2 linked regions of the Pelodiscus sinensis genome follow. The protein of the gene in region 2 interacts with the protein of the main gene of each other region in a pairwise test. Links are inferred from orthologs where the notes say so. Each region holds a gene or a part of one and is shown on either strand. Other genes may lie near its edges. The genes, in order: DUSP12 and CCNH.

Evidence for each region.
Region 1: the proteins of CCNH (region 2) and DUSP12 interact in binary tests that used the Homo sapiens proteins (3 or more experiments, as listed by UniProt). The two-hybrid records come from large-scale screens. The link is inferred for Pelodiscus sinensis from reciprocal best matches to the Homo sapiens genes CCNH and DUSP12.

What each region holds. Positions count from the first base shown.
Region 1 is NC_134711.1:141,149,855-141,160,991, forward strand, and holds the start of DUSP12 (dual specificity protein phosphatase 12), read left to right. Parts: upstream 1-5,538; 5' UTR 5,539-5,587; coding exon 5,588-5,832; intron 5,833-6,822; coding exon 6,823-6,936; intron 6,937-7,041; coding exon 7,042-7,160; intron 7,161-8,530; coding exon 8,531-8,627; intron 8,628-9,832; coding exon of another isoform or gene 9,833-9,837; coding exon 9,838-10,024; intron 10,025-11,137. UniProt on the Homo sapiens protein: Dual specificity phosphatase; can dephosphorylate both phosphotyrosine and phosphoserine or phosphothreonine residues. Can dephosphorylate glucokinase (in vitro).
Region 2 is NC_134716.1:76,317,137-76,328,210, reverse strand, and holds the start of CCNH (cyclin-H), read right to left. Parts: upstream 5,376-11,074; 5' UTR 5,252-5,375; coding exon 5,135-5,251; intron 4,839-5,134; coding exon 4,716-4,838; intron 2,348-4,715; coding exon 2,274-2,347; intron 383-2,273; coding exon 172-382; intron 1-171. UniProt on the Homo sapiens protein: Regulates CDK7, the catalytic subunit of the CDK-activating kinase (CAK) enzymatic complex. CAK activates the cyclin-associated kinases CDK1, CDK2, CDK4 and CDK6 by threonine phosphorylation.

The sequences.
Region 1 (11,137 bases), on a different chromosome or scaffold from region 2:
GCCCACTCATAGAAATGTGGCTGATAATCTATCTTGCTGTGCTCTCTGGCTTTAGGGATTTCTGCTTTGACAGCCTGGATGGGAGAAGGGAATAAATGTTCAGAAAATCCAAGGCCATGTCCAGACTCAGGGGTTTTTTCGGGAAAAGTAGCCTTTTCCCGAAAAAACTTCCCCTGCGTCCAGACTCAAGCCGCGTTCTTTCGAAATTATTTCGAAAGAACGCGGCTTTTCTTTCGATGGCGGTAAACCTCGTTTCACGAGGAAGAACGCCTTCCTTCGAAAGTTCCTCTTTCGAAAGAAGGCGTTCTTCAATGTAAAGAGGCCGTCTTCGAAAGAGAGCATCCAGACTCGCTGGGTGCTCTCTTTCGAAAAAGCGGATTTCTCTTTCGAAAGATCCGCCTGCAGTCTAGACGCGATCTTTTGAAAGAGGCTCTTTCGAAAGATGCTTTCGAAAGAAGCCTGCAGTCTAGACATAGCCCAAGAGCCCTCTAAGGTGAATACTGAAAGGAAAGCTGCAGCATATTAAGGCATTGATCTTTATAACTAACTAAAGTGACCTGCAACAAGGCAGGCAAACTCTGAGCCAGGGCCAACTCACTAGTGAGCTATGACAGTGAATATGTTAGAGCGACAAGGTGGGTGAGGTAACATCTTTTATTGGAGACAGAGACAGAAGTTGGTCCAATAAAAGATATTACCTGACCCAGTTTGTTTCTCTAATGTCCTCGAATTGACACGGCTACAACAACACTGAATACAACAGTGACTGAGGCTATGTCTACACTACAATGATCTATCGGAAAAAGGTATGCAAACTGTGAAGCGCAATTTGTGTACCTTTTTCCAATAGTTTTTTCAGCCAAATTTTGGAAAAGCCTCTTCTTTCAGAAGAGCCCTTCTTCCTTGTGGGAGGAGGAAGACAGGGCTTCCAAAAGAGAGCATCTGCTCTTCCGCAAAAAAAAGTGGAAGAGCAGATGCGTTCCCTGGACATGGAAGAGTTTTTCCAGGTATCCCAGAAAACCTCCGTAGTGCAGACATAACCTAAGATGTCTGTTTCATGTAAAGACTAGAGAGCTTTGTTGGGAACTGCCAACAACTTTACTTGTTAACTTATTTTAAAGGTGAGGCACAATGTATTTGTCAGCATCTGTTCTGGGCTCCCAGAAAAGTTTTTTGCTGCAGATGCCTTTCTAAGAATAAGGGATAATGTGAAAGACATTTCAAAGGAACCCTGAAGTGGTATTTTTAAAATAGGAGTCTTTTCTTGATTTATTTGATTTGTCGCTATGCAGATCTATTTTAACTTGATTCAGTTCCAACCAACCCAATTCTTAGATCCTATGCAGCAAGTGGCTGAATTTCCTTTTCAGAATAAGACAAGCTCAAGCCTGCCCCCTGCTGACACTTTTTGCTATTTGCATACTATTCCCGGGAAAGGAAATACCAAGTATTCTTAATTTTTGAGACCTTCAGAACATAGGCTATGTTTACACTACAGAGACATCGAAGCTGCCACTGTTAATCTTCCAGGGTTCAAATTAGTGGGTCTAGCTAAAACAGCTAATTTGAACTGAGAGAGGCACTCTGGTTGATGCCAATAGACCTGCTTCCACAAGGAGTAAGGGAAGTTGAAGGGAGAACATTCTCCCTACGACTTCCTGCAGTGTGGACAGCACCAAAAGTCGAGTTAAGGTACTTCAACTTCAGCTATGCAATTAATGTACTTGAAGTTGTGTATCTTAATTTGACCTTAATGTCACCTAGTGTAGACATACCCCTAGTTACTGACTTCTGAGCACAGTGGAAGAAGAAACAAAAAAAGGATCTGTTGTTCCTAAAGCCAGTCTCAGGTGATAGAATACCCCATTTCCAGGCTACAGGTGAGGCTGATATAAGAATCCATGTACTGTTGCTTTGAAACAGTAGGAAGCCAGGCAGGAAGGAAATGGGGAAGGTAGGCAGATGCTCTGCATTGAAGAGTAGACAATGAAATATTAGGGACAAAACTGTTTTCCTTATGCAACCCAAAGGTACTGAATGACTCTGGGTTACTCTTACTATAAAACCAAATTCCCTTTTTAGTGCTGCAAGAAAACAACTTTCAGGAATTTGTTGCTATTGACACAAGAGAGCTTCTATCCTGCCCTTGGGACTCACATAGAATATGTAGCTACTGGCAGCTCCAAGAGTGGAAAGAGCCATAATCCTTCAGCTATGTAGAGGGTAGTCATGGCCACCACATGATCCCTCATACAGATCAGGCTGACTCAGTTCTGGATTCTTGAGTCTTTTTCCTGTAGTCTCAGACCTCACAAAGTCCTCCTTTCAAAGCTCTGTCCCTGCTCACCCAGCTCAATCCTACCCCATGCAACTTTATAGCATCACTGTATGTGATACAGTGAAATGTTTCTATGTGGGACACTGATGTAGCTCAGTTGTGGGGTGTGATTTTACTACAAATTTGTGTCTATCATATTGTGTATGTATATTGGGGTGGGAAAAATTCAACTTATGGGCTGAGTTCGGCTTGCCAAATTGCTGGATCAGCTCGCCACCATCCCATAGCTCAGCAGGAGCCTCAGGCAGCTTCCCTGCCTGCCAGACCCCCACACTCCACTCAAAGCGGCCAGCTGAAGGGGGCCATGTGCACCTCTGCATGTCACGCACTCAGGGGGAGAGCTTTGCATGCTTCCCTTGCCCCCAGCACAATCTCTCCTCTCCCACTGACTGGAAAACAACCAATGGGAGCTGCCTGGGCATGGGTAACGGGTATAATAGCTGGGGCAGGCAATGCCTTCCCAAATGGCCAGGCATGGCCCTGCCCACACTGCACCCCCAGAACACCTACTGTTTCTTGTACTGAAGCAGTAGGAATTCTGGGGGAGGAATGTTGATGCCCCCAAGCTTCAGCCTGTGCTCCGAAGCGGGGATTGCTTAAGCCACGCACCACCTGCCCTCCCTGTGATGCTTTGGGGCCAGAGAGGCTTGGGCCCTCCCTCCCTGTGGTGCTCCAACGCCAGGGCAGCTCAGGCTGCACCACCACCTGCTTTCTCCATGCTCCAGGACTAGGGAGGGTCAGGCTGTGCACCGCTTGTCTTCCCCATGGTGCTCGGAAGCTGGGGAGGCTCTCGTGGGACATGGGGGCTGAAGGTTTGCCCCTGTGGTGGGGGGAGCTTGGCTCCCATGTGGGGCCTCACGTGGAGAGGGTGAGGTTGGGAGCTTACCTCCCTCAGCCCTACATTCACCTTCTGCCCATAGCCTGGCCTGTGCTTGCAGTACATAGGGTTACAAGATGGCTTCAAAAAATACCGGACACACTTGTTCTCAGATGCGGGGGACCAGCCGGGAGGGGAGGGGGGCTGGCTGGGGGAAATGGGCGGGGGAGAGAACTGGCCAGCGAGAAGCAGGGATGGCCGGGAGAAGGTCGGGGGGAGCGGGGCTGGCCGGGGAAGATGGGGGGGGGGGGGAGAACCAACCAGATGGAAGCAGGGCTGGCCGGGAGGAGGCCGGGGGGAGTGGGGCTGGCCGGGAAGGAACCGGCCACCGGGAAGCAGGGCTGGCCGGGAGGGGATCGGGGGGAGCAGGGCTGGCCAGTGGGGAGCGGGGCAGGCCTCAGCCCAGCCCGGGCACATGCAGATCCCAGGGTGCTGCACATCCCATCCCGCGCATGGTCCCATAGGAGCATGAGCAAGTCTGGCCCTGGGGATTCCATCCCGCCCCGCCTCTACCCGCCTCCTCTCTACTGTGTAGTTGCGTACTGCCTGGCTGGTGTACACACTCACGCAGTGTGACTCATGCAGTCTACCAGCCAGGTAGTATGCAACTACGTACTGATGCTCATAATAATAAAACTAACCTAATTAGAAAATACCAGACATTTCTGTGTCCGGTATTTTCTCAATTTATTTCCTGGTCAGAAACCTCAAATACCGGACTGTCTGGTTCAAAACCGGACACCTGGCAAACCTAACAGTACAGGTAGTGCATGGAAGGCCATCCCATCAAGGGAGGCATGATGAGTGGCCTGAGCTGCGACAATTGCTGAGTTGCTGGCTGGGAGCCAGCTAAGATAAGCACCTCCTGGTCAGAGCCTGCACCTGGCACTCCACCCCTTCCCACACCCCAACTTTCTGCCCCAGGTGACAACCCCCTCTTACACCCTTGCCCCAGATCACAACTCCTCCCAGGCCCTGCACCCCCTTCTAAATCCCTCTTCCGGGTGAGAATCCTCTCCTGCGCCCATATCCTTTCTCAGACCTTGCACCCACTCCTGGACCCTGCCTCCCCTCCCAGACCCAAATCCCCATACCCGGATCACAATCCACTCCTTCACCCAAGCTCCCTCCTGGACTCATCACCGTGTGCTGCATCCCAATCCCTTCTGCACCCAACCACCACCCCAGACCTCTCATCTCTTCCATTAATGTAATAGAAAAGTGTGGACCTTGATTAATTACCAAATTATTGGAGTGCACCCCCCCAAAAAAATTATTGCCCCCTGTTGATATATATGCAGGTCTCAGTAGTGTATGTGAAAGGTGACCAGGTGTCCCAGTTTTATAGGGAAAGTCCCAATATTGAGGGCTTTACCTTATACAGGTGCCTATTACCATCCATCCCATTCCAATTTTTCACACTTGTTTGGTGGTCACCATATTTACTTGTGTGTTCAGATATGGTGTGTCACAGCTGGGGTGTTTGCGCTTGTGAATATGGTGCGTACATGCACAATTTGGCTGACGGGAGTGTGTTTAAGTGTTTGTGGATGGGGTGGGGGTCAATCACATATGTACAAGTGTGTGTGCGAGCAACACCCAGAGAAGGGAAAAGTGGAAACTGCCTGGGGGAAGAGGTAAGGACATCTCGCCATCAGCAAGGAGCGCCAGCCTGGAAGGTGCATTTTCATCTGTAAAAGTGTGTTGGTCATGCCAGGGGTGTGCAGTGTCAGCCTGAGACACTCTCCCGCCAAAAGCTACTGCCGCTCATGGGGGCGGCTGCTTGTGCCTGCAGGGGAGCAGGTGCAGCGCAGGCCCAGCCAGAGGGGCGAGGGGCGGAGAGGTGACACGTGGCGGAAGGAAGCAGTGGGGGCTGGTGCCAGTGAGCTGAGGGGAACTAGAGCGGAAGCCGCCATCTTGGTGGTGACAATGGGTGGAGCAGGCTGGACGCCGCCATATTGGTAGTGGCGGTAAGGGGGGGGCACAGGCCGGAAGCCGCCATGTTGGCGGGGGGGGGGGGGGAAGGAGGGGGAAGAGAGACAAAGGCCGGAGGCCGCCATGCTGGTGGTGGCGGGGAGGGGACACAGGCCGGAAGCCGCCATGTTGGTGGTGGCGGGGAGGGGACACAGGCCGGAAGCCGCCATGTTGGTGGTGGCAGGAAGAGGACACAGGCAGGAAGCCGCCATGTTGGTGGTGGCAGGAAGAGGACACAGGCAGGAAGCCGCCATGTTGGTGGTGGCAGGAAGAGGACACAGGCCGGAAGCTGCCATGTTGGTGGTGGCGGGGAGGGGACACAGGCCGGAAGCCGCCATGCTGGTGGTGGCGGTGGGGGGGCGGCCGCGCTAGGAGCGTGGCAGCGGGCGCGAGGCCGGATGGTGCCGGTGCTGCCCGGCCTGTTCGTGGGCGGCGCGGCGGCCGGGGTGGGGGCGCTGCGGGCGGCGGGGGTGGGGGCGCTGCTCTCGGTGGACGCGGAGGCGCCGCCCCCGCTGGCGGGGATCCGGGCGCTGCACATCCCCGCGCGGGACGAGCCCGGCGCCGACCTGCTGAGCCACCTGGACTCCTGCGCCGCCTTCCTCAGCGCGGCCCGGGCCGGGGGCGGCGCCGCCTTGGTGCGCTGGTGAGCGCGGGGCGGGGGTGCTGCATTGCGGGGCCTTTCGCTCCTCCATCGGCCGATACGCGCCGCCGCCTCCTCTCCCGCGTAGCGACCGCCCCGCTGCTTCTGCGAGGCGAAGGCGAAGGCGATGCTGGGAGCCGGGGATCAGATGGGGGGGTCCCCTGCTGGTCCCGGCCTCCCCAGACACTGCCGCTTTGAAACGCTGCGGGAGCCTGGAGACACCCCAGCTGGCCCCGGGCTGCATGGAGCCGGGGTCTGGCCCCGGGCTCTGCCGTTTTGAAGTACCTTCTTCTCTCCCTCTCTCCCTCCCCCCCTTCTGGTAGAGCAGTGTTTCCCAATTTTATTTGGCCATAGATCCCTTTTAAACTCGAAAGAATTTTGCGGAACCCCCACTGACTGACTGCGCGAAATCCCTGACTAACTGCGCACACAGCGCTGAGGAGAGACATCATGGTCCCCTATTTCCAGCTAAGCTGGCATTACACAGGGACACTTACCGTGGTGCAAACAAATGAAAATTGTTCTCAATAAAATTAATAAATGCTTAAATATTAAATTTTTTTTTTGGTAAATCATAAAATGTTATTGTAATGGAATTTTCTCGCGAAACCCTTATTTTCACTTTGCGGAGCTCTAGGGTTCCAGGGAACACCATTTGGGAAACCCTGTGTTAGAGGCAGCAATGGGGGGGAGTGACTAGTCAACTAGCCTGTTGACTATCCAATAAGCAAATGTTTATCCGCTAGTTTGACTAGTCCTTCACATCTCAGGCAGCTGAGCCTTGGCATCAGCCTCAAGCACTCCTCTTTTCACCTGCTGGCTTGGCCCACTCCCCTGCCAGTTGGTGCTCATGGCCCAGCTCAGCCATCAGCAGAGCCAGAGCATTAATTTCCCCCCAAGGCAGATGGGTTACAACTTAAGCGAGGCTTGACATGAATTAACTGCCCTGGTGTATTTGCCCTCGTATTGTTCACCAAGTTCTTTGTCTTTCAGCCATGCTGGAGTCAGTCGGAGCATTGCTTTAGTGACGGCCTATTTAATGAAAACCAACAATCTCACCTTCGAAGAGGCTTATGCCAAGATCAAGGCTATCAAACCTGATGCCAAGTGAGTTATTTGTCCTGCTAAGATTCCTGTCTTTTCTCGTGCGGACTAATGTGTACGATCTCCACAGCCTGAGGAACAGGCCTCTGACTTTCCCTGTGGTTCCAGAATGAACGAAGGCTTTGAGTGGCAGCTGAAACTCTATGAAGGAATGGGCTGTAAAGTTGATGTGTCCAGTGCCATTTACAAACAGTATCGCTTACAAAAGGTTACAGAGAAATATTCTGGTGAGTGAAGGTAATGTCTGACAGTGTGTTCAGGGGAGCTAAAGACCTATAGCTAAGAGTGACTGAAGACTAGACTGGCATGATTTTCCGCAAATGCTTTTAACGGAAAAGTTTTCCATTAAAAGCATTTGCGGAAAAGAGTGTCTAGATTGTCACGGACGCTTTTCCACAAAAGCACTTTTTGCAGAAAAGCGTCCGTGCCAAACTAGACATGCTTTTGCGCAAAAAAAGCCCTGATCGCCATTTTCGCGATTGGGGTTTTTTTACACAAAACAAATCTGAGCTGTCTACACTGGCCCTTTTGTGCAAAAGCTTTGTGCAAAAGGACTTTTGCCCGAATGGGAGCAGCATAGTATTTCCACAAGAAGCACTGATTTCAGACAGTAGGAAGTCAGTGTTCTTGCGGAAATTCAAGCGGCCAGTGTAGACAGCTGGCAAGTTTTTCCGCAAAGCAACTGCTTTTGCGGAAAAACTTGCCAGTCTAGACACAGCCAAGGTGTACAAGGATGGTGTATTACCTATCTCCTAGTGCAGGTACCTGATCCATGACTGAATATATTAGCGCTGTCTGAACCAGTCCTTTCGTTACACACTGCTGGTTTTAATCTAGATGAGTTTAGCAATTCTGTTGATTAACATCAGTGTATCTCAGAGCAGCTGCTCAAATACCATGGTGATTTGACCATGTAAAAATCTTGATAGTCAGAGAACTTTGCATGTTTGTATAAAATTTTGTGCACTGGAAGGCATCTGTACACCTGGACAAGATCCAGATGTGCTATTTCTAGATACAAAGTTTCTTGTAATTAGCACAGTGGAATTCCCCTTCTTTGGCATGAAAGGGTGAAGCTCAGCTCTTAGGGCTGGGATGGGCAATTACTGGCCCCTGGGCCAGATCCAGTGTACCAGGATTAGTCTCTGGCATCTCCCCCCCGCCCCATATTTACCTGCCTCTCCGCAGTTTATGCGGGATCATAGTTCCTGTTGGTAGCAGATTGTTGTTCCCAGCCAATAGGAGCTGTAATCACCTGAACCTGTGGAGGTGCAGGTAAATATAGTGGCAGCAACCCACCAGGGGCTAACCCTGGTGAACCACCGCCACTCACCCTGGGGGTCAATTAAGTGTTCAGCATTTCTCCTATCGACCCCATGCAGTAGAGATCTCCCCGCAACTCAACCTATTATTTCAACTGCCGCCACGGTATTCATGTAGCTGGAGTTGTGTAGGTTGATATCACTCCATAGTGTAGAACCACTCTCAGGAACCTCCTAAGAAGGGAGAAGGTGTGGGTAGGAAGTGTGATGGCAAAGCCATAGTGCTTTAATTACAAATCTCTGAATGACTGATTTATATCGCTCCCTCTCTGTAGAGCTGCAAAACTTACCTCAAGAAGTCTTTGCAGTTGACCCAACCAGCGTTTGTCAAACTCTAAACAGTGAGATTCTCTACAGGTGCAGAAAATGCAGGTATGGGGTGTTTCATTTCTCACAAAGTGTTACTTTGAAATGAACTCTTGTAGGGAAAATAGTCTTTTTAGCTTACAAGTTATTGGATTTGTGTCTCAGAACAGAAATACACCCTTAAGACATTTTCAATCAAAAGGATACATGGTACTTTCCTTTGCCTAATCTTTGTTTCATGATCATAAAGTCTTTCAAGCTCTGAAATCCCATAGAACCCATAGGGCTAAGTATATGCTGGCCATGTCCACATTACTGTCTATAAGTAGGCACAACTCCACTTACGTTGTTCCAGTTTACACAAAAATTAAAACTGAATTTACTAAATTGAAACTGCTCAAAATCTCAGCGGGGGATCCATTTAAATCTACATCCACAAAAACAATGAGGAGGCTTGTAGCACGTTTAAAGATCAACAGTTACTTGGGCATAAGCTTTCATGGGCAAAACCCCACTTTGTCAGATGCACCTGACTCTGAGTTTTACCCATGAAAGCTTATGACCAAATAAATCTGTTTATCTTTAAGGTCCTACGGGGTTCCTTGTTGTTTTTGCTCAAAATCTGACACTCCCACCCTCTAAGATTCTTTTAACTCCATAGGTCCATAGCTAATCTTGTTAAATTTGGCCTCTTGATCATAGGAATTTATCCTATTTCCAATTTTCTAGCTGTATATTTCCCAGACATATGTACCTAGATGATCTCGTGTTTCATTAGCTAGGAGTTTGCTAAAAGTAGCTACATAAGCAACAAAATGTAACTATGGGAAAAAGACCCAGGGCTGCATATTAGATATGCTGCGGTTGGGAGGACCCCTTCAAATGAAAAAAGAAAATATAGATTGTATGACTCCAGTCGTTTGCTGGTGCTACTACTGCCTCGTGCTATATTATTGTCCAGGTTCTAGGGATGTAAAATCCTGTTTAATTGATGAACTGCCTGAATGTTATGTTTAACCACCCCACCCATGGGCAGCCCCCCCACCTCAGACAAGGGCTGCTCCAGCCATCTGGACTAGCCTCTGCATCTGGTGGGAAGGCGTTGGGGCTGCCACAGACAGGGGCTGCTCTAGCCAGCTGCCTAGAGCAGTCCCTGCCTGAGGTGGGCCCTGCAGGCCTGGAGCAGCCCCCTGCCTATGGCAGATGATGTAACGGTTCACATCCCTACTGGTTACCTTCAGCTTTTCTCTCTCTTCTCTCATGTTCTGGAGGATAGACGTTCCCTCTTTCGTAACTCGAGCATTTTGGCCCACACTGAAGGAAGTGGACCAGCAGCCTTTGCTCACAAGAGGATTACAGATCCTGCTCAACTTCGTAATGACAGTCAGGTCAAATGTACCTCTTATTTCATTGAGCCGGTACAGTGGATGGAGCCAGTTTTGTTAGGAGTGATGGAAGGACAGGTGAGAGGAACAAGCACTTGACATTGTTACCTATGAAACTCCCTTAAGAGATGTTCTCACTTTTTAAACATTGTTTCTGTGCATCTGACCACACTCCTTAATATTGCCTGGTTTTACTGTTCTTGTGCAAGGTTGCTGTTACAGCTACAGTCCTTTCAGTCTTCACCATCTCTGAAGCTCATTAATAAACTGTAAATGTCATCTTCTCCCACCTAGTACAAGCAGCAGAGCTCCAACTTGGCAACAGTCATCAGGAGCCATTGGCCGATAGAGGGTGATACCCAAAGTAGACTGCTTCAGGTATCCTCCATGACAACAGATGATTAAGTTGTTGGACACCTTTTAATAACTCCACTGAGTAAAATTGTAAAATATGCAGCAGAAGGTGTTTTCAGAGAAACCTTGCAGAATTTCACTCACCATGTGAAAGGTTTCAGATTTTCTTTTGGTAAACTAGGTGGTGGGTTTTTTTTCTTTTTCCCCCCATTATCACCAAAATGAAGGACGGTAAGTAGATTTGATGCCTAGACTGGTGAGCCTTCATGATAGTACTAAGTTAATCCATTTCTTTGCTGCTTTCTCAGCTCTCTTCTGCCCTCTTAAAATCCCAACTTGACATTGAGTGAAATTGTACTGTCCCACATTCTGGACAAAGACGATTACATTATTCTATCTACGAAGTGCTCCTAATCAATTTCACTTAAAACTTTCCCTGTCTTTCAAACTTTCTGTGTACTTTCCCAGGCTGTTTTAATGGATTCGCATTCTTTCCCCATTTGTGTCCTTATGCCAAGTCATTTCAAACAGTTTCACTATTGTAGATGCTAACCCTCCTTTACTGTAGTTTCTGCTGCCTGGAGTAGCTTTCTTTCTCCCCATATCCTTTGACTTTACTTATTTTGTCCCTCTGCTATTTATACAACTGCATTCTACTATGTAGAGTATTTTGGGATAGTCCCACAGCATGAAATGCTATGCACAATAAGGCTTTATTGCAGAAGTTCTCAAAATATGGGTCATAGAGTCTGTGGTCTGGAGGGCCAGATTTTCAAAAAAGCTCTGCTCCCTTTTAGGTAGCTGAAAATCTGGTCACTTCATTGAAGTGCTTGAGAC
Region 2 (11,074 bases):
CCACTAAAGAATAGGTGCCCAGGCAACACCCACAATATTTTGAAATATTAACATTTTATAGTACCATATTTGAACTTAACAAGTCCATTTATCTTAAGGAATATTAATACCTTACCTGATACCAAGTTTTATGTGACACAGCAAGGAGAAAAATAGTTTTTAAAGTATTACCTTCAAATCAATTAAAAATCCCTCAAATGGTCTAAAAGGATTATGCACTATAAGGTGAAAGTTCAGCTGCTGAATAAGCAGCAATTCATATTCCAAGATCTGTTCAAGAGCCTTCTCCTGTCCTGGAGGGTTTTCTCGAAGATTACCAACAAACTGTGCACTGGACACATTAAATTCATCTACTTTACATGCCAAGAATGCACACGTTAACCTTAAAAAAGAAGACAAACAGAATTTAGTTCTGTGGCATGCATCATGCAGTCAGCTGTTCAGAACAGCTGCCAGTTCACACTAGGCACCGCTCACCCCTTGTAGGGCATGGGCAGGGGGTGAGAGACTTCATGTACTCCCACCCCCTCAGGCCTGACTGGCCTGGGGGCAGAGGGAGCATGAAAATCTCCTCCCACCCCCCACTAGGGGTGCAGGCACCAGAGGGAAATACCAGCTGTTTAAAACTGCTGGTGGTTCTCTCTAGGCACTGGCAGGTGGGGAGGCAAAGACTTCACGTGTTCTCCCACCCTCAGGACAATCACGGTCTGTGGGTGAGGGAGTACAGGAAGTGTCCTGGCCCCACCCCTTCTGCAGCAGCGCAGGGCCACTTCAGAAATTTGTGAAATGTCCCCACTGTAAAAATTATTGCCCATCCTCCCTGACCTATTTCCAAATGGATCACTATGAAAATTCATTATTCAGCTTCTTGCTTTATATAAAATGGTAAGAATACTGAATTTTAGTATCCTCAAACTTTTATTAGTTACCTAATATGACAATTAGGGATGTTAAAAAGTGGGGGGAGGAACATTTTTTCAGTGGTTACTAGGGAAGTGATAGACTGGTCAACTATCGATAAGCAAATGCTTATTGGGTAGTTGACTAGTCACTTCCCCCCAAGTGCTGCCTCCATCAGATAGAGGCAGCAAGGGTGGGGAAGAAGAGGGGGTACTTCAAAGCAGCAGTATCACTTGAAGCCTGGGGCCAGACCCTGGGCTCCACACAGCACTGCTGCTTTGAAAAGCCACGTGTAGCCAGGGGCTAGCTTGGGTGTCCCTAGGCTGCATGCGGCATTTTAAAACAGCAGCACCACGTGGAGCCTGGCATCAGCTAGGGACTCCCGATCCCCCCCACCCCCCTCCCACCCCGCTGCTGACCCCCCGGGTTCCATGTGACACTGCCACTTTGAAACGCCACTACAGCATTTCAAAGTAGCAGCGCCACACAGAGCCCAGGGTCAGCGGGAGAGTCCCCAGCTGACCCTGGGCTCCACACAGCACTTTCGCCTTTGAAATGTAGCAACAACCCTAGTGCTGTTGCTGTACTTCAAAGGCAGAGGTGTCCTAACAACTAATCAAACAGTTGATGCAAAATGCATCAACTATTCGAATAGTCAATTACCTGATACTTAACATCCTTAGTGGTTACACATTTCCATGTGGGGGCATCTCCGCGGAAGCCAGTAGGCATGGAGAACCAAATTTTAAGCCAACTCCTGTGAACACCGGCTCCTGCAGAGCCACGTCCCCCTCCAGCCCCTCACACCATGCCATTTATGCTGCTGCCTCTGTATCAGCTGCTGCCTCCCATCTCTCACTCCACAGTGCTACCTCTGATACAGTGGCAGCAGTGCAGGGTGGGGCCTTTCATTTAACTGTGAAGGTTAACCAATGGGCCCAGGCCCATCAGGTTTTTATTTTTAAAATGGTTATACTAACACAGGGGTGGCCAACCCATTACAGACAAAGAGCCAAAATAGTAGTGGATACAGCACAAAGAGCAGAGTTGTTATAAAAACGTTATTGAGGAGAGAAAGAAAAAAAAAAAAGCCCCACACCAACGCCCTTTTAAGAGGAGAGCAGTCATTGCTCTTTTAAGGTGGCCATTTTGAAGTTTGCATGGGATGCATGACTCCAGCTCTGTCTCTTTCAGACAGAAACACACTGCCCCTTTCAGAGCCGCGAACCACAATTTTTAATTTGAAGAGCTGTATGCAGCTCACGAGCCGCATGCAGCTCACGAGCCACGGGTTGGCCATCCCTGTACTAACACGTCTCTAATGACAATATTGACAAACATTACAAAAAATTCAAACTGTCTCAATTACTCACATTATTATTCGAGGGTGATACTCCATCACTGAGTTATTCAGGTAAAAACGTTTGAAATACATAGTAGCCGTTCCCTAAATACAAGGAGTCAGTAAGTTCCAATTGGGCATGATAGCACAAACAGCAAATAGATAATGTTCAATGCAGAGAATATACACTTTTTAATCCACTAGTCAGATTTCAACCTTCTCTAAGAACCTTCTCTAAGGTATTTATTGGCTCCCACCATAAAATCAGCACCTAGCCACCTTCAGCATATTTTATCCTCAATAACCCTGCAAGATAATTAAGTATTGTTATACCTTGCACTCTGCCCACACAAAAATAAGTAGGGTGTATAAGTACACACAGGGAAGTGAGGTGCAGAGAAACGGAGGGCTAGATCCTGAGGTTACTGCAATATTTAACTCTTAAGTTATCTGCTGGACAGTAGACCCCTCAGCCCTGAATAAGGCGCTTTAGCTTCCCATAGAATGCAAAAGAGTTAAGCACTTAAAGGGATCCTTGTAAGTCAAGCTGAGTAGTGAGCCACTTAAGCTACTCAGCAGAAATACTGACACAAAGGGCAGGAGCTAAACCCAAACTCAAAGAAGCATACACACCCAACTCTAGACTGAAGGGGGCCTTAACCATTGTGCCATCATTCCCCTCTATCCATTACACATCAGCATCTTGAAAAGACACACTGACATGCAGTCCAGTAACCACCCCCAGTTACTCTGTCATGTTTCTATTTCTATTGAGTTTTTTGTTGGATGTTTAGCTAAAATGTTAATTTGTAAGAAATTCAGATTTCTCCAAGTTTGACTGTTGTCCACCCACCTATTCTAGAAAACAGGTCACTAATTCTAAATGAAAAAGTACCTTTTGTACCACTGAATCCATTTTAAACCTAAAATTTTTTCCATGAGCTCTTTTTCCTTAACACCTCAAATCCCCTCTCCATTGGTTAGATTTGTAGATGAAATATTTTGAAACATGAAAAACTTCAGACTATAGTTTGAGAAGTAACGCCTTGGATTAAGGATGTTAAATATCAGTTAATTGAACAGTCGAGTAACCTCATGACATTTTATCGGTTAGTCGACTAGTCTATAGTCCCGGGGGGGGGGGGCAGGGCCAGCAGCCACTGTATTAGAGGCAGCAGCACGGGGTGAGAGGTGTAAGCTGGTCTGCAAGGGGAGCTAGTTTAAAAACCAGCTGCCCTTGCTACCTGGCTTGCCTGTCACCTTGCGCTGCTGCTTTTAAGGAAGAAGCAGCACTACAGGGTGGCAGCAGTCCCTGTCTCGGGGAGGGGAAGCAGGGGGGAAAAGTGTCTGAGCTCCTTGACCCGGTGTGAGACAGGACTGAGCTGGGCTGCCTGACCATCCAGCTCCTAATACATTTTAAATGCAGAGCTGCAGTAGGGGTAGGTCTTGGACCTATCACAAGCCAGGACTGTGAGACAGGCTGCTAGCCAACCTGCTAAAAAATTTACTGGCAGGGAGAGGGAAATGCATGTAGTCTATAACGTTAACCTATAAGCTTTTGCTTATCGGTTAATCAGCTATACTATTACATCCCTATCTTGGAGAGAAGTTTGTTTGTTTTTTTGTTTTTGTTTTAAAAACACAACATATGTAAGTTTCTAGAACAAAACCAACAGGGTTAACCTTCGTCACACGTAGCACAGAATGCAATATAATAAAGTCTGTCAAGCACAGAATCCAAAAGAAAAAAAACTTAAATCTGAATTTCTTTCATCAATTTACTTTGTCAATTTTACATGCAATAATCTGGCACATAAGAGCAAGGATCCCTCTAATCTTTTCCATCCATGTGTTGAATAAATCTTTCTACTGCATGTGAAAATGTACACCACCAATATAAACAAAAACCTAGCTGTGGGCACTCTGATGAACAGCCAGACAGCATCTGAATCTATCTTGAGCAGCCATGCAAATGCACAGACTACAGGAACACACAGCACAAGAGCAAGAGTCACTAAAACTGATTCAGTCAGTTGTAAATTTTCCTCCTCTACACTTTTGCTCTGGAAGGGAGTCAGCCTGAGCAAGAGTATTTGAAAGACTTGCCACAAACTCTACTGGCCTGATCCAACTCCCATTAATCAGAAAACACACACACTTGCATTGATTCTGGACTAGCGTTTCTGGTAGCAGTACCCAATAATCTCAACAAGAAACCACCCACAGTTAAAACAAAGGCACAAACCTAAAAAAAGCCAATGATGGAAATATCAAGCCCCTCTCCCCCGAGCTCTTTTGGTGACAGCAAGGCTCAAGTCCTTTCATTCCCCACAAACCCAATGCTCAGAAGATGCGACGAGTGCCCCCAGAGTCATGGCTTGCGAGAAGCTACTGAGGGTGCTGGACGTCTGGGTGTCTCAGGCCAGGGGCAGTCTGCAAAGGAAAGGCCGCGTCCTTTCGGTACCCAACTCACCACCACGGATCTGGGCATGGCAGGTTTGAACACGGAGCAGAAATCCAGCAGTTTCTTCTCATAGTATTTGCAGATTGTCAGCTCCTCCCGGGTCTCCAGCAGCAGCGAGTCGTTCTGCCGAACCTGAGGACACGGGCAACGTCACCCGGGCGGGCTCGGCAGCTGCTTCGGGCCCCGCCGAAACGCCGGGGCTCGCCCCTACCCGCTGCCCGGCGCAGCTCTGCTGCCGCTGCCCCTCCCTTCGCAGCCAGCGGCAGCCGCGCCGAGTACTCGTGACACGCTGACAGCTGCCGCCGCGGGGATCCCCCGCGCCCGGCTCCAGCTAGGAGGTCCCCGGGACTGACCCTTCCTCCACACGCCGCCGCCGCCGCCGCCCCAGTCCCGAGCCTGGGCTCTGTCCGAGCGGGGCCGATCGGTACCTTTCCGTTGGCCACCGCTTTGCAGCGGAACTTGCGGTTGGCGTCGGCCCGGCAGCGGACCAGCTCCTCCTCGCTGCGGAAGGTCCAGTGCCGCCTCTGCGTGCTGCTGTGGTACATCCCGGCCAACCGACCGCTCCTCAACGGGCACCTGGATCGCGCGAGCGCACACAGCCCCGCGAGCGCACGCCACCAACGCACTAGAGCGCTTTCAAGCCCAGCCTCACACCCCACTGCGTAAACTAGCTCCGACATATCCCAGCATGCCTCGGGGCCCCATGTGTACTACGGATCCCAGCGTGCAGCGCGCCTCGGCTTCTCCCAACCAAGCTCCGTAGTGCAGCCCCGAGTAAACTACAATTCCCAGGATGGGCAGCGACAGACTTAACCGGCGTTCCGCGCTCTACCCAGAGGCAAGTGGCGTCTGCAAGCGGGTAGTAAGCGAGCAGTGCATGCTGGGAGTTATAGTCTCTAGCGCTGCAGGCTGGGTAAAGGTCGAGCACGTTAAAACTCCGGACTTGCGCTCAGAGCTGGAGACAAAGCAATGGTCAATACTGACTCTGGCCACAAGTTAGCACCTCAGTCCTTGGCGTTTCTTGTTGCAGTCCTGGTACCACCGTGCGGTCTTTAAAAAGGAGCAGATTTGGGGTATTTTTCAGCAATTTCTTTGAAACAAAGGCCCACTCCACTGTAACTGGCTAACCTGTAAGCAAGGCAAAGGTCATTCTGCAAAAGCAGCGCAGAGTCCTGTGGCACCTTATAGACTAACCGAAGTGTAGGAGCATAAGCTTTCGTGGGCAAAGACCCACTTAGTCAGATGCATGTTGTGGAAATTTCCAGAGGCAGGTATAAATATGCAGGCCAGAATCAGGCTGGAGATGAGGAGGTGGATCCAATCAAGGAGGATGAGGCCCACTTCTAGTGAATTCCAAGAATTCACACCTCCAGATCAGCTACTAGAAGTGGGCCTCATCCTCCTTGATTGGATCCACCTCCTCATCTCCAGCCTGATTCTGGCCTGCATATTTATACCTGCCTCTGGAAATTTCCACGACATGCATCTGACTAAGTGGGTCTTTGCCCACGAAAGCTTATGCTCCTACACTTCGGTTAGTCTATAAGGTGCCACAGGACTCCTCGCCGCTTTTGCAGATTCAGAATAACATGGCTACCCCTCTGATAAAGGTCATTCTGTGCATCTTTGGCATCCCGGGTAAGAAAGTAGGTCAGTGACTTTGGCCTCCTAGATGAATTTGAAGGCTCGGCCCATTTGCACATAGACTATAGTAGTACATGTAAGATGTACATAGATAAACCATGTACTTTTTTCAACAGAGCTTGGAATATGAATTTTTATGAAAAATTACCACAGACTTAATTTCAATCCCTAATATTTGTGTATGGACTCATTGCTGACCCATGCTCCTATGTATTCCTATGGATTCCCCACTCCATTACATAACCTAGCTATAGCCACCATTATTGTATTTTCTAATTTAAGCTATTCTCCATTTGTATTTAATTAAAGATTTATTCCTAAAACTGATTACTGTCCTAAGTATTCCAAAGGGTCATGTTATTATCACCACTCATGTTCAATTAAGCCAATAATAATTCTGGTGAATTTCAACTCTTTGTGAGGTTGTTCCTGCAGATTTCTATTTAAAGTGTTGTAAGACATTCTGGGCAATTGAGCCAAAATCTCTCATCACAAGCTGAACTATAGGGGGAAGAGGGAAGAGAAACAGGAACTGGGTTGTCATAGGGGTTTCTTTAACTATCTACTGTAGAAGCAAAAACACGCTCCTCTGTGTTTAGACAGCTAACAAACAGCTTTATTAATTAATAAAGCACAGCATGAGCCAAACGTGGTCACAGCAGAGCCAGACCCAGTAAGGCTGCTAATACAATCAATTCTAATATCTTTATACCCTTAGCCAAACAGTCTGACGTCAGGGCATCCAATTACAGAAATCCTCAATTAAATTTGGAAAAACCAAACCTTATCAACAAGATGGCGGACAGGTGCGAGGGAGTACATCTCCTGTCCCAACCAGCCTAATTAACACATACCAATAGCCCATCCTGTAGGCCTCTTCTCACGGGGTGACAGAAAGTTCACTCTGGTCTACGTGCTTGAGAGAAAAGCTGAAATGGTTTCTGATATACAAGATGGCTTCTAGCTAAACATGAAAATGGTTTCTACAGCTTCTACACTACTCTTAAGGGAGTTTGTATGTGTATATCTGTATAGTTATTGCAGGGTGGGCAAATTCCAGCCTGTGGTTCGGATCCAGTCTTTAGGGGTAGTTTCTGGCGTTTAATCCCTCACCTCCATGTTTACCTGTGCCACTGCCGGTATCGTAGGATCACATTGGCTGCAAACAGCGATTCACAGCCAACCAGCGCTATGATCCTCTGATACCTGCGGAAGCATAGGTAAACATGGAGGCGGTGACCCGGTAGGGACTAACCCCGCGGCCTGCTGTTTTTTTATTGTCCACCCCCGTTTTATAGACATACTTGCTGACAGGTATTTTGAAATAAGTTACCAAAATATATGAAACTGGCATGATTATTGTTGGTTCTTGGTTCGATAAAATGGCAGGAGTCCCAGAGGCTTAAGGCCAAATACCCAGTGAAAATACAGAATGATGGCAAAACAACAAGTTTTACTAAAGAAGGAGTGATTTATTAAGCTGAACAACTTCCTAATATTTACTTAACATTTACCTAATATAATGAACAACTACCTAATATTTACCATACAACAACTTTTAAGCCCTACCTAAGTTACAGCTAAGTCAAATATATACACACTTAAAAAAACTGTTTCTTTAACACTGACAATAGCAAGGGTTTCTTTAACACTGACAATAGCAAGGGTAAAAGTTACCACAGAGCAATATTTTTTCTAACCTGGCTCTTTTAAACAACTTAACAACAGTGGGGGTAAATTAAATACTTACAAACTCAGCAACAACAACACAAAGACACACAAGGAAACGGAGCATGCTCGAGATTGTACACCCCTTTTTAGACTTTTTAGATCGGTGGGTGGGAGGCGGCCTTTGGGTGATCAGTCCTAAGCCAGACTCAGATTCTGTCTTCCAATATCCCGGAGTCCTCCCAGAGCTAAGGGCAGAGAGGTTTTTATGTTCTTGCCTATTACCATATTTGGTGGTGTTTGTGCTCAGGGAGTGGCATGGGAGCAGTTTGGGTGTGGTGTGAGGCCCATATATGGTGTTGAGTGCTGGACTCTGACAAGCTCCATTTTATTGGTAGATAAGCCTTGTTGCTATCCATGTGAGGTGGTGAGGTTGCTGAGGTAGATCTGGCTATAGCTGAGGCCTGGCCAAGAGAACCCATACTTGACAATTATATAGTGATAAGTTGACAAATACCTTTTGGAGAATTTTGTAAAATATCGTGCACAGAATTTTTAATTTTTTGGTGCAGAATCCCCCAGGAGTAATGTAGGTACCAGTTGTCACCTAAAGAGAAAAAGATGACAGAACTCATATGGGAAACTGACACAAATCTAGTCTATTTAAAATATTAACTTTTGAAAGAGAGTTAAAGAAAATAAGAGATGTGAGAAAGAGAATAGACTAAAAAAAGAAAATGCTGTAAACCAGAAGAGCCAGATTCTAATATCCTTACTCATATTGGATAGCAACTGTACTCCATGAGTAGTTCAAAGGCACTTCTCATAGAGTGAAGTTCTATTCTGTGTAAGTAAAGAAATAGAATCTGGACAAGAGAAAGCAAATGGAAGAAGAGCAGGAAAAAAAAAAACAGGAGAGAAAGGCAAAATAGACTTTTTAATAAGCAAATTGTGTTTTAATATTTACTTGTTACTGATGGAACATTAATGTTTTCTTTTTGGCAGATGACACATTATCAGAGCATGATTTTTGAAAAATAGTTTGTGAAGTGATTTGTTTTTTTTTTTTTTAATTTCATGGAATAAAGTTATAGAAATCCTCTATAAATCTGAGTCACAGGGTAAACTGAGTCTTTTAAGGATATATCTACACACTACAGTAAAACTCCGATGGTCTGGCATCTGATGGTCCGGCACTCCTGATGGTCCGGCACCATCAGGAACCCAGAAGTGCTCCGGGCAGCTGGACCATTGGAGCTGCTCTGCCCCCAGCTTCCCCGATTCAGCCGCTGCTAAAACTGACCAGTGGATGAATCGGGGAAGCCGGGGCAGAGCAGCTGGGGCACTGCCGGGTTGGTCCCATAGCACTGCCCCCAGCTGTCCCCGATTCAGCCGCTGCTGAAACTGATCAGCGGCTGACTCCAGGAAGCCCGAGGCAAAGCTGCTCTGTCCCGGGCTTCCTGGAATCAGCCCCTGATCAGTTTCAGCAGCAGCTGACTTGGGGACACCTGGGACAGAGCAGCTGGGGTGCTGCCGGGTTGGTCCCACAGCACCAAGGGTTGGCGCTAGCAGACCAACCCGGCAGTGCCCCAGCTGCTCTGTCCCAGGCATCTGGATTCAGCCGCTGTTGAAACTGACCAGCGGCAGACTCCAGGAAGCCGGAGGCATCCCCCCCTCCCACCCCAGACCCCTCATAGCCCCCCCTTCCGATAGTCCAGCAAATCTGATAATCCGGCACCCCCTGGATCCTAAAGGTGCCGGGTTATCGGAAGTTTACTGTATTTTGGAGCCTGCAAAAATGAGCATCCCAATCCAGGTTAACACACTGAGGTTAGAGAGGTTCATGGTAGTGCCCTAAAAATAGTTGTGTATCAGCATTTTAAAGTTGCAGCTTGGACTCTAAAGCCTAAAAAGAGGGTTGTATTTGGGGAGTTTGGAGATAGCTGGCACTATATTAATAAATGCACATTCTAAGGAAAATACGTTGGGGCATTCCATGTTTTATGGGACTATGCTTATGAATATGATATACCTGCTTTATGTGAGATACTTCATGTGAGATATTACTGGAAAACTTGTAATATGCTGGATATAATTAGGTAAGTATGTATCATTTATTTATTTGAAGTTAAAAATATGAAGTATAATCCTGTGTTATTAATGTAGTCATGCTAAGCGAGGGCCATTAGTAATACTTAATGACCCTATACTCAGGACAATGATCTGTGAATAGACTTGTTTTTCCTTTAAGCCTGGGAGGAGGGTATATGTGGGCGGGAGGGAAATCCACCCAAGACATGTGACTACATCACCTGATGTTGGGACCCATCTTGAATACTGTATTTTTCCACAAAATAGAGAGAAAAGTTAGACTGAAAACAAAGGCTTCCTGCCTTTTGCAAAATCTGTTTGGGGGGGGGGGGGGCGGGGAGTGAGGTAATCTTAGTTATCCATTCTCTTTGGCTATCCTATCAAAGATAACTGCTGGACACGTCTAAGACCTAGTGGGGGTAAGGACTGGGGCCAAGCTGGAAGGCTTTCCCAGTCTGTGAAAGCTCATTTCAAACTGACCAAAGTTTTCAGTAAGCATGTGCTAAACCTTTGTAGAACAATAATACTCATCTGATTGATGCATCTCAACCGAGGCATTCAAGAAGCTACCTAGTGAGCATTCAGATTCAAATACATCCCTTACCCACCTCTTCTATCCAAAAATTTATTGAGTTGTGTGAGTGATGGTTAATATGTGAGAAGACTATTGTGTGGGCCTTCTGCACTTTTGAGTAAATTTCACTTTTAATAACCAGGTTCCAATCCTGTAAATGTGTATATATGTGCTTAATATTTTGCAAGCATACAAATGCTTGAAATCAGTAGGATAATTGAGGGCTTATGGTTAAGCATGTATGTAAATGTTTTCAAGGTGAGGGCTTAAGGCGGTTTCTGATAACCTGAAATATGGTTAGTGTCTACTCTTTCCAAACCAAATGGAGAACAGTGTTCAGTAGCCATGCACTGAAACTGTTACTTCTCCGTACCAAAAAGCATTATTTCTT